3 linked regions of the Saccharomyces cerevisiae S288C genome follow. Changing the gene in region 3 together with the main gene of any one other region gives a genetic interaction. Each region holds a gene or a part of one and is shown on either strand. Other genes may lie near its edges.

Evidence for each region.
Region 1: mutations in YDJ1 (region 3) and CDC27 together harm fitness more than expected from each alone (negative genetic interaction), as found in Saccharomyces cerevisiae (2 studies listed by BioGRID).
Region 2: mutations in YDJ1 (region 3) and SYG1 together harm fitness more than expected from each alone (negative genetic interaction), as found in Saccharomyces cerevisiae (2 studies listed by BioGRID).

The regions. Positions count from the first base shown.
Region 1 is NC_001134.8:66,145-71,531, forward strand, and holds CDC27 (anaphase promoting complex subunit CDC27), read right to left. Parts: upstream 3,302-5,387; coding exon 1,025-3,301; downstream 1-1,024. Other genes in the region: BOI1 (Boi1p), read left to right, coding at 1-674; ALG3 (dolichyl-P-Man:Man(5)GlcNAc(2)-PP-dolichol alpha-1,3-mannosyltransferase), read right to left, coding at 3,607-4,983. UniProt on the Saccharomyces cerevisiae protein: Component of the anaphase promoting complex/cyclosome (APC/C), a cell cycle-regulated E3 ubiquitin-protein ligase complex that controls progression through mitosis and the G1 phase of the cell cycle.
Region 2 is NC_001141.2:264,091-269,806, reverse strand, and holds SYG1 (Syg1p), read left to right. Parts: upstream 1-1,983; coding exon 1,984-4,692; downstream 4,693-5,716. Other genes in the region: ubiquitin-binding SDF ubiquitin ligase complex subunit MET30, read right to left, coding at 1-1,156; YIL046W-A (uncharacterized protein), read right to left, coding at 1,334-1,498; aminophospholipid-translocating P4-type ATPase NEO1, read right to left, coding at 4,915-5,716. UniProt on the Saccharomyces cerevisiae protein: May function in G-protein coupled signal transduction.
Region 3 is NC_001146.8:504,732-508,883, reverse strand, and holds YDJ1 (type I HSP40 co-chaperone YDJ1), read left to right. Parts: upstream 1-1,786; coding exon 1,787-3,016; downstream 3,017-4,152. Other genes in the region: tRNA 1-methyladenosine methyltransferase subunit GCD10, read left to right, coding at 1-108; MTQ1 (S-adenosylmethionine-dependent methyltransferase), read right to left, coding at 182-1,126; AQR1 (Aqr1p), read right to left, coding at 3,400-4,152. UniProt on the Saccharomyces cerevisiae protein: Probably involved in mitochondrial protein import. Is also required for efficient translocation of pre-pro-alpha-factor. Involved in heme regulation of HAP1, as a component of the high-molecular-weight (HMC) complex.

The sequences.
Region 1 (5,387 bases), on a different chromosome or scaffold from region 3:
AAACATCTGCTTTTACCGAAGGTATACGCTCTATCACAGCAAAGGAATCTATGCAAACTGCGGACTGTTCAGGCTGGATGAGCAAAAAAGGTACCGGTGCTATGGGGACTTGGAAACAACGGTTTTTCACACTTCATGGAACAAGGCTTTCTTATTTTACGAATACCAATGATGAGAAGGAGCGTGGCCTGATAGATATAACGGCACATAGGGTCTTACCTGCCAGTGATGATGATAGGCTCATTTCCTTATACGCTGCGAGCTTAGGAAAAGGAAAATACTGTTTCAAATTGGTCCCTCCGCAACCGGGGTCCAAAAAGGGGCTAACCTTTACAGAACCTCGCGTTCACTATTTTGCAGTTGAGAATAAATCTGAAATGAAGGCATGGCTGTCAGCCATAATAAAGGCCACTATTGATATTGATACAAGCGTCCCTGTCATTAGTTCATATGCCACACCAACGATACCTCTAAGCAAGGCACAGACGCTATTGGAAGAAGCTAGGTTACAAACCCAGTTAAGAGATGCTGAAGAGGAAGAGGGAAGAGATCAATTTGGATGGGATGACACCCAAAATAAAAGAAATTCTAATTATCCAATCGAACAAGATCAATTTGAGACCAGCGATTACCTGGAAAGTTCAGCATTTGAATACCCTGGTGGCAGACTTTGAGAACTGCAATCATTAGTTACTTCTTGACCAACTTAAACACCTTAATAATTAATATTTAATAGAACATAATATAGTGATATAAAGTATATAAAAATAAAAAGTTTACGAATTAATACAATCAAATTAGACACTGATACTATCAAGAAGTACATCGCAGGAACCGCAGACATGATGTCCTCTTCTTTCAAATTACTGGATATATATATTATTATTATTGTTACCATTAACGTTATTATTATTAACTATTACTATTACATTAACTTAAAAATAAATATGAAACAACGAAGAACAAAAAGAATTATGAAAACATTTAACATGTTTCAATTTGTTATGTTTTGGCCAACCTGCGTTTATTCTTGCATATGACATTTTTGTAATTCATCGATGATAACTTGGTTACCCTTTGGATCCAAATTCATAGCAACAGTTAGCTCCTTGATTGCATCTTTTTTCCTCCCAACTATTCTATATGTTTGACCCAGCAAATAATGGGCTGTGGCATCATCAGGAACGAGTTTCACCAATTCTTCAAAAGTTTGCAAAGCAACATTATATCTTGTCATGGAATAGAGCAACTGGCCCATCTTATATTTGGATAGCGAGGAAGTCGGTTGCAAATGACATGCTAGTTCATAATATTGTAGAGCCTTTTCCTTATAGCCCAGCTTTTCTAAAGAACCACCGCAACAACAGATTAACACAACATTGACGGGATTAATTGACCTTGCCTTTTCAAAATATAACAACGCTTCTTCATATTGACCTAATTTCATAGCGCTCGTACCCAATCCGTAATATGCATTGTAATGCTGAGGATCACAAGCTAGCGCCTTTCTATAGCATGTCTTGGCAGAATCCGAAGAATCGTTGGAAGAATGTTCATGACCTTGCAAAGTATACGCGTATGCAAAATTTGGGTCTAACTGAGTAGCTTTTTCGAAGGCTTTTATTGCGGCATCATGATCCTTTTGCAATGATAGCAAATTACCTATACAACACCATGTTTCGGGCTTATTAGGCATTGTATCCATTAGCCCATTTGCCAAATTTGAAGATTTAACCTTGTCATGCAAATGCCACAGCAAAGTAGAAAAAATTTCCATATCTTTTACCCTTGCCGGTTGTAGGTCTTTCAATCTATTGAAATACTTTAAGGACATATCATAATTAATGATCTCAAAATGAAGTTTTCCTAATTGCACTAGACACCATGGCATTGTGTCTTTAATATGAGATGGGATTTGAGACTCGAACAGTCTTATTGCCTTGAACGAATTGTATTGTGATGACGACCTTAATATTAAAGCGAAATTATACATGATTTCAGGCAGCGTAATTGAATAATCACTCGTTAGTATTGAGTTACTGATTATTAAAGACCTTGGATTTTTCTTGGAAGTTGTTAACCTTCCTGTTGAGGAATATAGGTTTCTTGGAGTTTTGAAAGTTGTTTTATTTATAATGTTATTATTATTATTATTATTATTATTATTATTATTATTATTATTATTATTATTATTATTATTATTGTTATTTTGGTGGTTCCTATCGTTATTTAACAGTTTCGATGGAGGAGTCGTTAAAAGTTTGTTTCTGTTATAAACTTTGGCCAACGAGCTTATTGTAGGCTGTTTGGAGGATGGAGACACTAAGTTCATGGAAATGTTATTTGGTAGCGCAGAAGACGTCTTACTGTTGATTGCAGGGTTTTTAGGAGTTTGAGTATTTTTGTTCTGGCAGGTCCTTATTGATGTGTTCGCTTGTTGCTGCTGTGACCTTGAGAAATGCTGAATGGAAGAAAAAGAAGATGCCGATGTAGAAGGGGGAGAATTAGACGACTGAAACAGTGTATTAACATTATTATTGATATTATTATTGCCGTTTTTGTTTGTTTTTGAATATAAGCTAGGTTGTGAACGAGGTTCGAAATGCGATAGTGATGTAGACGGAAACGATGAAGCTGCATTATTATTATGACTATTACTTTTTTTCCCTGCAATGTCGAAAAAAACCCTCTTGAGATCCACGGTAGCTCTCATTTTACAAATCGCTTCGTAAGATTCCCAAAGGTAAGGATTAATGGCTAATGCTTCAGAATGATAAAATGCTCCCTCCTTAGAATGGTCCAGTTTCATATAAAGATTGCCTAACAGGCAATTCAAAGTGGCCAAATCGGGAATATGGACGAGATTAGAATTCAACACCATATTTATGCGCGTATTACTGCTGTTCGAAGAAAATACATTTATTATTGAGAGAAGAGTGAGGATAGCTTCGTTAACTCCCTGCGAAAGCTGTAAAGCACAACGCCCGAATATGTAAGCGATACCAAGATGATACTCCTTGAATTCTTTGGATATCTGGAACGCAGTGTGGTAGCTTTTATTCAGAAACAGCGAAAGTGCATATAAATATACCGCATCGGACCAGTAAACACTTGATTTATCGAGAATGGAGCATTCAGCATAGAGCAGTTCGGCCAAAAACTCTGCGGTACTGTAGTTCAACTGCTGAATAGCCTGCTGAATGCAGTCCTGAAGCTGTATGATGGTGCTCAAAGCTTGATCATCAAAGCTGGGGATTCCTCTCGAGAGGGTGAACGGTGCTAACTCAGGATTTACCGCCATGCTATTTTTATTATGTATCCTGCACGAAAAGTTCGTGTCGATTTATGAATAGATATGCAGTCACCAAAACAGAGTCTAAAACTCTCACAGCTAGGTATGGTTTTTTGATAAACTTTTCTGTGGCACCTTTGCTTGCACTTTGATCCTTTTGGTTTACTTTCAGCCTGTTCCATCCTTTTGATCAAAAAAAAAAAGGAAAATCAAGCGCGGGTAATAACGGCACCATTAAATACTAGTAGTACTATATAGATGGTATAAAGAAATGATTTAAAACAATACGATTATATGATATTTATACATCTGTTTCAGTTGAGCTTTTTTTCCATAGAGCTGGTGGTACGAAGATGGCTTTTGGCGAGGGCGACCGAACCAGATAGCTGCGTCAAGGCCAATAGAAGCAACAGAACAGTATTCAATGCCAACAATAGCGTGCTTGCTTGTGAGTTTGGTGGATAGGAATTCCAGCACCACTCGTGCAAGACGTACCAAATGGGACCAACGAAGAAGGGCATTCCCGACCAAAAGATCAGTATAGGCAAAGTCCAGTGATACCAGGATAGAAACTGGTAGTGGAGGGACCTTGAAAATAGGACGCCGATGAAGTTGGATGCGATTAGAACGAATGGAATAGTCTTGGCGGGATTGGCATTGAGCACTGCATTTTTCCTCAGCGGATGGCACAGGGAAGACCATAAATCGGGCAGGATGCGAGGGTATCTTGTGACGAACAGTGTGGTGAGCGCTATCAGGTGGCTGATTAAAAGGGCCAAGTGGAACCTCTTATCATTGAAAGCCTCTTCATCCATCATTTGCCAATTGATACTCCATTGGTACATAAACTTCCTGCCGAAATTAAAAGCGCAATGCAGGTACTGTTGCGGAAAGCTGCGCAGGAAGGGCACTGCAACTGCGACTTGCCATGCAATCATCGCAACGAGATCCAACAAAGTAAGGATTACGTTCGCGTCATTAAGGATGAATAGAGAAATCATCATTGCAGGGAAATACAACAGCGCATTCATCTTAATGCTCACAGCCATACTGTATGTTGCGGAGATCACCAGCGCAAGGGACTTCTTTAATTTGGGGCGCTGATGGCACCTGCTGGCCACGATAGCCCCCAAAACCGTGACGACCATAAACAAAGTAGTGAAGCAATCATTGAATAACCGTAGCACGTAAATAGAGTGCAATCTTTTAGAGAGGCACGCCAAGACCACACACCACGGTGGTAGATGTAAAAGGTAGTAACACGCCATTTGTAACGCCAGTGTAAGGAGATACAAGTATCTGAAAAACACTTGCCCGCGCTCAACGTGGTCCATTCCCTCTGTTAGCCAGTACATCATCTTGTAGATCAAGACGTGGCCTGCTGGATACACCAGCGGGCCCGTTCCACCACTCACCTGAGAGTAGTCCAGCATGCCATCGAGCTGAATCATCTCGATCTGCTCCATGTACGCCTTGTAATCGATCTCTGTGTAAGCTACCTTCTTAATGATAATCTTGCACAGCATGCTTTCGAACAAAATCAAAAGGGGCATAACGATAAGATTGGCCCTACAATCGAAGATCACGTAGCGCACACCGTCCTTGAGATCCTGCCACAGATCCAGCGGAGGTCTGACAAATTGCTTCCTTTGCAGAGACTTTTCACCTTGCGGAGACTGTTCACCTTCCATACTACTAGTATCTAACTCTTTCTCTCTCCCATACACACTCTATGATACTGTTTTCACTCCCAACTAGTGTACTGCGTTGTTCTTTAAGTTCGATAGCGAAATTTCTTTAGCTTGTTTACAGCACCCAGCAACCGCACACAGAATGTGACGGCAAATGCATTTTACATGGAAGGCTATCTACAAAACAGCAATAAAGAGTCATGTAAGATTGGGAAATCTCTAATGTGACATTCCATACTTGTTGCAACAATTTTGGGATGCTTCTGCGTCGTACGACCCTGTATTTACCTTCTCTAGCTCATCGCTTCCCAGGGTCCACGTTAATTTTTCAATTTTTTCTTGCGTGTCGAAGATTCAGGTCTCGAGAAATTTGTCAAAAATTTTTCACTAGATATTAAGAACTA
Region 2 (5,716 bases), on a different chromosome or scaffold from region 3:
GAACGCTATCCGAGTGGCCTCGATACGTGGAAATGCATTCACCGGTTATGTAGTTCCAAACACGGATCGTCTTGTCGAGCGAGCCCGTAATCAGCTTTCTATCGTCAAAATATAATGTCTTGACGCCGTCCGAATGGCCGCTGAGCCTTCGTATTAGCTTCCCCGTGAATAAGTCCCATATACCTATGGTGGAGTCGTACGAGCCTGTGAACAAAAGCCTGTAGTTAAACTGGAGCGTTAACACACCATCCATGTGGCCCTTGAATTCCTGAATCCTGCAGTGGCCCTTTCTCCAGTTTGACTCCACTTTGAACCGTTCTCTGTAGATGACTTTCCAAGGTCGCGTAGTTTGCGTCTGGATATCTGCGTTGCTGCTAGATCCTGTACTATTCTGTTGTATCCGCGCACGTTTCATGTGCAAAAGAGGCAGCCCCCAGCCACAGTTGGGACATTTCCTGTCTATGTGCTGCTCGCACATGTGGTACCATACCCTGTCGTCATCCGCGAGCTTCTGCCACTTGCGGCACACTCTCGTGGCGTTGCAAAGAGATTGGCAATCCAGATAACTCAAGATCTTCAGCGACAGCTCCTGCGGCAGAATGCTGATGAAGTCGATCTTGATCATGTGTGTAACGAGTGACGAAATGTAGGAAAGCTGTGGGAAGCAACTCGTCGATAGGATCCCATCCAGAATCAGCTTCCGTATCTTGTCATTGGAATTGCTGTACTTCGAGATAATGTGGTGGATGTCGGATTGCTCCTGCAGGGGTAGCTTCGCGATATTAGCATTAATCTCTTGCGTTCGTTTCAAATCCTGCTTGTAGCACGCTGTATGAGTTGGTGAGAACTGAATGTCCGGGTTATGCCGATAGCAGAACTTGGTGAAGTTATATTCTGGCAATGGCTGTACCCTAGTGCCGCTGTCGTTTGTCGCCAAATCGGGTGATGACGATGGCGACCTCGTCGCCATCGTCATCTTCTTCTTACCCGATGATCCTTGTGCCAAATCATCGCTACTGCCCGTAATAAGCAATCTCTTTAATGGTGGCATCATCGCCGTATCTGTCATTTCACTGCTGTTATTACTATTACTATTGTCAAGGTCGTCCTTGTCCTTGTCCTCGAAACTCATCATCCTTTGCCTCTCTCTCCTCATGCCCTTCTCCTTTATAAATCACCAAACACACACCCCTTTACCGATACTCAAGCCTCTTCTCTAAACTTCTTTAACTGCAGTCTTCTCTTACGATACAGACTGCAAGGTTGCTTTCTTCTTACGCTGATGAAAAAAAATAAAATATCTCCGCGCAAACTGTGGCTTCCCGATCACGTGCTACAACCTCATTTCTACATTAAAACACACACATTGTACCACACACGCCAACACACATATACACGCACAATCACTCCCACACATATACAAACACACGACATATGAATATATATAGTACACGCGCCAATCCATTAGTTTTTTTTTTGGGATACAGACGCACATCATGGCTTCTTGCCCGTTTAGTGCAATACAATAGCCTTGTGTTGCCGTGCCACACCCTGCAGTTATCTCTCCCAGATCTGTCTTTCCATCCCCTTAGTTGCTATCGCTGCAGCCATTTGTTCAAAATCGTTATCACCATCATTCATCATCACTTATCATTATCATGCACATGCTGCCAGCCGCTGCGGCTGGCTATGTGTTGGTAGTCATCGAGTCGGAAGCCCATCATCGGTGTGGGTGTGAGGCATTTCTAGAACGGATTTTGGGTGCCGTTTGTCACGTGGGACGGGATGCGGTTTTATTTGACGCAAGTTCCATGAACATCATCGCACGGTTTCGCAACAGTTTGGGACTGTACATGTACAAGATGGGTTTTCTCCTTTGCTTTTTTGTTTTGTTTTGTTTGATTTGATGGTTGGTAGTTATTTTTTTTTTTTTTTTAATTCAGTTGGCAGCAATGGAAGGGCTTTACCATAGCACCGTATCAGATGAAGTTTGCTGACCATCTAACCGAGTCTGCCATCCCGGAATGGAGGGACAAATATATTGATTATAAGGTCGGCAAGAAGAAGCTTCGCCGCTACAAGGAGAAGCTGGATGCCGAAGAAGAGCAATCCAGCTCCTACCGGAGCTGGATGCCCTCTGTGTCGGTATACCAGACTGCATTTCAGCAGAGAGAGCCCGGCAAAAGTCGCAGCGACGGAGACTATCGCTCCGGACCTGCGTTCAAGAAGGACTATTCTGCTTTGCAGAGGGAGTTCGTTGCTGACTTCATTGAAGACTGGTTGATCTCGTTCCAGTTGAGTAAGTGTAACGAGTTTTACCTTTGGTTGCTAAAGGAGTGCGACAAGAAGTTTGAGGTTTTACAGTCGCAACTGCACTATTACTCGCTGCAGAAGAATTATGAGCGCGACAACTTGAACCGGTCTAGTTCGAATGTTGACATGTCCACGAGTCTATATGCGGCAGGGCTTGCTGGTCGTTCTGACTCCAGGGTCAATAGCATCGACAGCGATAGCCGGTCTGTTATGTATGGGTCAATGCCCTGCACCAAAGAGGCCAAGAAGCCGCGTTTGTCGCTGCTAGCGTACTGTCAGAAAGTTCTTAAGGACAATAGGCTGCTGCCATCGTGGCCCAAACGTGGATTTTCTCTGCTACAGGACTTGAGACAGGATGCGTCCTCAAGAGGCCGCGAGACGTTTGCTTTTGGCGCTTCTTTTCTGGAGACTATGACGACAACCCAGGCTAGAAACTTGTTAAGCAACGCTATAATCGAGTACTATCTGTACTTGCAATTGGTCAAATCGTTCCGGGATATCAACGTCACCGGGTTCCGTAAAATGGTCAAGAAATTCGACAAAACGTGTCACACAAGAGAGCTGACCACGTTCATGTCGTACGCCAGGACCCACTACACCCTTTTCAAGCACGCGGATGCCAACGTGCAGTTGGTGGCACAGAAGATGCAACAAATAACCAGTTCGCAACCAACACCCACTTCGGAGCTCTCTTCCGCCCAAAGAGACAAAGAGCCCATCACTTGGTTGGAAACGCAGATCACCGAGTGGTTCACCACTGCGTTGACCAATTCGCCTAAGGACAGGAAGCACAATACCCATAAGTTGAAGAAATTGACCATTCAGTACTCTATCTCCGAACAAATGGTTCATAGAAACAACAGATCGATTGTGCAGATGCTGGTTGTCGGGCTGGGCATAGGTGTGTCAATGACTTTGATCACTTACACTTTGTATTTGGGCATTAGCTCTGAAGAAACGTCATTTACGCACAAGATTCTGTTCCCACTGTGGGGTGGTTGGTACATGGTTTTGTTGATCGCGTTTCTCTTTCTTGTTAATTGTTTTATCTGGCATAGAACCGGGATTAATTATAGATTTATTATGCTGGGTGAGATTCAATCCAAGAATGGTACGCAATTTTTCAACAATGATTTTGCCACGAGTAAAATTCCGCTCAAGTTGTATTTCTTGACATTCTTCATAGTACCTTGTGCGGTCTGTTCCATGTTAAGTTTCGCTTTGGAGAAGCTCACACCCTTAGGCTTTTTATATATTGGTATTGTGTCTTTCTTATTTTTATGTCCCTCTGGTCTAATTCCATATTGGGACAAAGTTGTACACACTAGAAAATGGCTGGTGGTTACTCTTATTAGACTGATGATGTCTGGTTTTTTCCCTGTTGAGTTTGGTGATTTCTTTTTGGGAGATATTATTTGTTCGTTGACGTATTCTATTGCCGATATTGCCATGTTCTTCTGTGTTTACTCTCATACGCCCAACAATCTATGTGGCTCTTCACATTCCAGAGCAATGGGTGTTTTATCATGTTTACCAAGTTATTGGAGATTCATGCAATGTTTACGAAGATTTGCTGATTCCGGTGATTGGTTCCCTCATCTTTTGAACGCGGCGAAATACACTTTGGGTATAGCGTATAATGCCACACTTTGTGCTTACAGATTGTCAGACCGTTCTGAACAAAGGAGAACCCCTTTTATCGTGTGCGCTACGTTGAATTCGATCCTTACTTCCGCCTGGGATTTAGTTATGGATTGGTCCTTTGCTCACAATACTACTTCTTACAATTGGTTGCTAAGAGACGACTTGTATTTAGCTGGTAAAAAAAATTGGGAAAACGGCAGTTATTCATTCAGTAGGAAGTTAGTTTATTACTTTGCTATGATTTGGGATATCCTCATTAGATTTGAGTGGATTGTATACGCAATTGCTCCTCAAACAATTCAGCAGAGTGCTGTGACGTCGTTTATATTGGCCCTTTTGGAGGTTTTAAGAAGATTCGTTTGGATCATCTTCAGAGTCGAAAATGAACATGTTGCCAATGTTCACCTATTCAGGGTTACCGGTGACGCTCCTCTGCCTTATCCAATTGCGCAGGTCGGTGATGATTCTATGGATAGTAGTGATTTGGGTTCAAAAGCCTTTTCATCACTTAACGACATACCTATCACGCCTTCACATGACAATAATCCTCACAGTTTTGCCGAACCTATGCCCGCTTACCGTGGGACTTTCAGAAGAAGGTCCTCCGTGTTTGAGAACATTTCGAGATCCATTCCTTGGGCACATGCAACTGATTTCCAAAGACCAACTGTCAATACCGTGGATGATAGGTCTCCCGAAACAGATAGTGAAAGTGAAGTGGAAAGTATTATGTGATTTGGGCTGGACATGATATTTGCTATTGTTAACCTGCTAAAGATGCTTATTTGAGGAAGTACAAAGAAAAGAAAATAAAAAGTAAAAGAAAAAAAATGTAACAAAATAATATTATGCATAATCTATATCTTCTTTGTAAAAATAAGAATTTATATTTTGAAATATGATAGATTTTTTTAAGATAATCCGTTGAAGCAACAAGAAAAATCCAAACCAATTGAATTATGGAGTGGCAAACTCTTGCACTTTTGCATAACTTGGAGGATGTAGCCTTCTATAAATTGCCTTTGCCGTCCAGACAGGAAAGATCGAGATGAGTAATATAACTAAAAGTCCAGCATAGTAATTTACGGTAGTCATATAACCTAAATCAAAATAATCGCCAAGAAATGGAACCGATACAATGTAAAATAGTAAAGTAGCAATTTCAGTGACGAGCATTGTTTTATTCCATGTGTAGATTTCTAAGGCAACCATTATTAATTCATTTACAACCAAAGCAGTGAAGCTGATAGCAACCATCCTTGTGAAATCAGTATCTAATAAACTCGTAAAGGCCTGAGAAAATAATTGAATTACAGAACCTTGGAATAGCGATAATAGAACCCAAACAAAGAACGTCTTATATGATAAGCTCTTACCTTCAGTCAATTCTTTGTACAATTCTGGGTATATTTTAGTCAATGACTCTTCGATATCGTGATCAAGAGTTAATGAAAAGACTGGAGCCATTGTATAGCAGGTAGCATAACCGACCATTAACCAACCTTGATAAAGAGCAATAGGTTCGAACAACGAACAGATGGAATATACCGCTTGGCAAATTGCAATGATTAAACCTCTATGCATGACAAATTGAGCCAATTTAGCAGATCTTTTGTAAGAGTTCCTACCATGCCATAATAGTAATTCGGTGAGGTGACAAAATTGCGTTATAGAAAAATCAGCAGCTAAAGAAGCTTGTTTACCTTCTTTACCCACAATCCCTACGCCAACATCTGCACATTGAATCATACTAACATCG
Region 3 (4,152 bases):
TGGTGTCACAGAGTCATCCCTGCTCCTGAACCTGTATCGGAAAACGCGACTGCAGCTGACTCCAGTGAAAAGCTTGCTGAACATGGAGCTAAGAAACAAAAAATATAAATGTCCACAGAGTGTTCCGTTTGATAACTTCCAACAAAAAAACCTGAGAATATATATATTTACATTTATATACTTAGTTGCAATTAGCTTTGTGCCCACTGAGTGCGGTTGCTAAATGTCTTATAGTCCCAAAGGATGCAAAAATCTGGTGTAGTATTCGCCCTTTGGGAGTGGCCTTAAACCCATATACGACTCTTGCTTTCCCATTCGAGTCATATTTCAAACCAATAGACCAAATACGGCTGAGATATGAATCTTCTTTAATGCGCCTCTCCACGTAATTAAACTGTTCAACGTCTCCAATCTCATAAAAGAAGGAGTCTGTCTTCGGCAGCCAATAATTTACTAGATTTATATAGCATTCAAGCTCACCCACTAGCGCTAGCCTTGGTTCGAACAGCTTTACGGAAGTTTTAACATCTCTATTGAAGTCACGCTTTCGAATGTAGGGGGGGTTACCGGTTAATATATCTATATGGGATGGATATTCATCGCTAGCTTTTGAGGACAATATATTATGTTGCACGAGCTTACCACCACTCACCTTGTTTTTCAGCATATTTTCTTTAACCAACTTAATTGCTCTTGTTGACACGTCAATGGCAGTGAACGTGCAATTTGCTATACCATGACTCAAAGCGAGAGCAATACACCCTGTTCCTGTAAACGTATCACAAATATGCAGTGGTATAGTATGCCTTGAAAGCATAGAGTTGTTTAGAGCTCTTATTATGGCCATCACCCATTCCTCGGTTTCCCATCTTGGTATAAGAACACCAGGCTTGCAAACTATGTCCAAGGCCCCAAACGGTTGCGATCTTAAGATGTACTGCAATGGGACGTGTTTGTATCTCTGTAAGCAAGCCCAGCGGATTGATTTATCCGGAGGCAGCTCTTCGGTGAGCCATTTGTACTCGAGTTTCGCTTGCTCGAGAGTCCTACATTCTGGAAGCAAAAGATGCAAACCAGGTCGTATTCTCGAAGCTTTTCTTATCAATGATGTAGATATTCGAGGCATATGTTCTTTCTAACCGTTTCTTTTTCGTTCCTACCATTCAACTATCGCTCCTTGTCTACGAGTTAAGGGGAAGAGAGTGCAGAGTTTCTAAAAGCACTTGAAAACGTAACAAGACATTGACCGTAGAGAGTCGGCAAAATAAAGTCGTTTATACACGTTTGAGTTGTGTGTATTCAACTATGGAATACATTGTTATAATGAGTATGTTGGTATAAAATAAGATGTGAAGTCGCTGGTTTGAGCACGTGATATACACCTGACCTATAATATTTCGTACAAAATTATAGAAGGCCATCGAAAAAATAGAAAATTTTTTCATTTCTTTTTCAAGAAATGAAAAGGCAATAGAGCATCGGCAGGTATGGAAAGTATTTAACTTGCAGATCAATCCACGTACTTATAAAACGTGTAAAAACTTGCTCTACGTTTATATGTTGGTTAGGTAGTTCTTGTTTGATAAGGTGTGTAGTTCGTTTTTATAAATCAAAGTCACAAAAAGTCCTTTTCCCCATATATATTAGGCCCGAACAAGCGTCTTATTTGATAACTGTTACGTATTTATTTTTTTGTTATTTGTTACCATATCTTTTGATAGAACATAATTAAAAATTATCCAAACTGAATTCTACATCTTCCAACAACAATAATAAACGTCCAAAGATGGTTAAAGAAACTAAGTTTTACGATATTCTAGGTGTTCCAGTAACTGCCACTGATGTCGAAATTAAGAAAGCTTATAGAAAATGCGCCTTAAAATACCATCCAGATAAGAATCCAAGTGAGGAAGCTGCAGAAAAGTTCAAAGAAGCTTCAGCAGCCTATGAAATTTTATCAGATCCTGAAAAGAGAGATATATATGACCAATTTGGTGAAGATGGTCTAAGTGGTGCTGGTGGCGCTGGCGGATTCCCAGGTGGTGGATTCGGTTTTGGTGACGATATCTTTTCCCAATTCTTTGGTGCTGGTGGCGCACAAAGACCAAGAGGTCCCCAAAGAGGTAAAGATATCAAGCATGAAATTTCTGCCTCACTTGAAGAATTATATAAGGGTAGGACAGCTAAGTTAGCCCTTAACAAACAGATCCTATGTAAAGAATGTGAAGGTCGTGGTGGTAAGAAAGGCGCCGTCAAGAAGTGTACCAGCTGTAATGGTCAAGGTATTAAATTTGTAACAAGACAAATGGGTCCAATGATCCAAAGATTCCAAACAGAGTGTGATGTCTGTCACGGTACTGGTGATATCATTGATCCTAAGGATCGTTGTAAATCTTGTAACGGTAAGAAAGTTGAAAACGAAAGGAAGATCCTAGAAGTCCATGTCGAACCAGGTATGAAAGATGGTCAAAGAATCGTTTTCAAAGGTGAAGCTGACCAAGCCCCAGATGTCATTCCAGGTGATGTTGTCTTCATAGTTTCTGAGAGACCACACAAGAGCTTCAAGAGAGATGGTGATGATTTAGTATATGAGGCTGAAATTGATCTATTGACTGCTATCGCTGGTGGTGAATTTGCATTGGAACATGTTTCTGGTGATTGGTTAAAGGTCGGTATTGTTCCAGGTGAAGTTATTGCCCCAGGTATGCGTAAGGTCATCGAAGGTAAAGGTATGCCAATTCCAAAATACGGTGGCTATGGTAATTTAATCATCAAATTTACTATCAAGTTCCCAGAAAACCATTTCACATCAGAAGAAAACTTGAAGAAGTTAGAAGAAATTTTGCCTCCAAGAATTGTCCCAGCCATTCCAAAGAAAGCTACTGTGGACGAATGTGTACTCGCAGACTTTGACCCAGCCAAATACAACAGAACACGGGCCTCCAGGGGTGGTGCAAACTATGATTCCGATGAAGAAGAACAAGGTGGCGAAGGTGTTCAATGTGCATCTCAATGATTTTCTTGATAAAAAAAGATCAACTTATTCACGATTCATTTATTCATCATACTTTTCACTTCAAAATACAGTTTTGTAGCTATACATATGTAAAGTAATAATGGTAGAAAATGCAGTTTACCAAAAAAAGTTCTAATTATGACGAAATCTTAAGGAAAGAGTAAAGCAGGGATTATATGCTGAAATTTCCACTGTATATATTTGCCACAGAAAACCATTTTTTGTATTAGGTATATTTAGTGCACCTTTAACATGTCAATAATTCAACGGAAAATTAACGAAGTAAATAATACATTAATTAGGAAAAATTTACATGAAAGTCTATAAGCTGTTTATAAAAAAAATATGCAGGGATAAGTGTCTATCAAATTGAAGAATGCCAATTAATTATGATTATCGTTCTGGTCTCTTTTTGTTCCCTTTTTGGCTTTGACTGCCAAGGTGTTTAACCAAGACTGTCTTTGTTGTTTCAATAATCTATCCTCCCTCCACTTCATACCATATTTCATCGGAATAAACATTAAGAAGTTGAAGAAAAATACCAGCGCACATAAAAATGTAAAAGTACCACCTACAGTCATCGCAGCTTTCATTTTGGCAAAGCAACCCATGAAGATGGTACTCAAACTGCACCTAACAAAGTTGAAACAACTACTTGCTGTAGATGATTTCGTTGGGTACAAATCGACCAATAACGTAGTTGATGTTGATAATGTACTCATAGCACAGTATGAACAGACAAATGAAGTAATTAAAATAGATTCGATCCTCCAGCCCTTATCTATACTCCAACCAAATAAAAGATAGGCTACGACGGCCAAGAAATTTTGGGGCAGAAGACAAACTAAACGGACTTTGAACATATTAATCTCTGCGTCTTGTGGAATCAACCCGTTAGCTTTGTCTTGCTCGAATTTCTTGATCTTTCTCTTGAAATACATGTCAATAATTCTACCTGTGAAGAAGGAACCCATTAAACCGCCAATACCACCGGGTAGATAACACACACCAATAATGACCAAATGATAGTTGTATGGCGCCACTGATAAACCGGATGAAATAGAGGAAAGCATTAACGTCCACATAGCAAATAAGAGCCCTGATGGAAATAAAGACAGAATAATTTCTGGCAATAC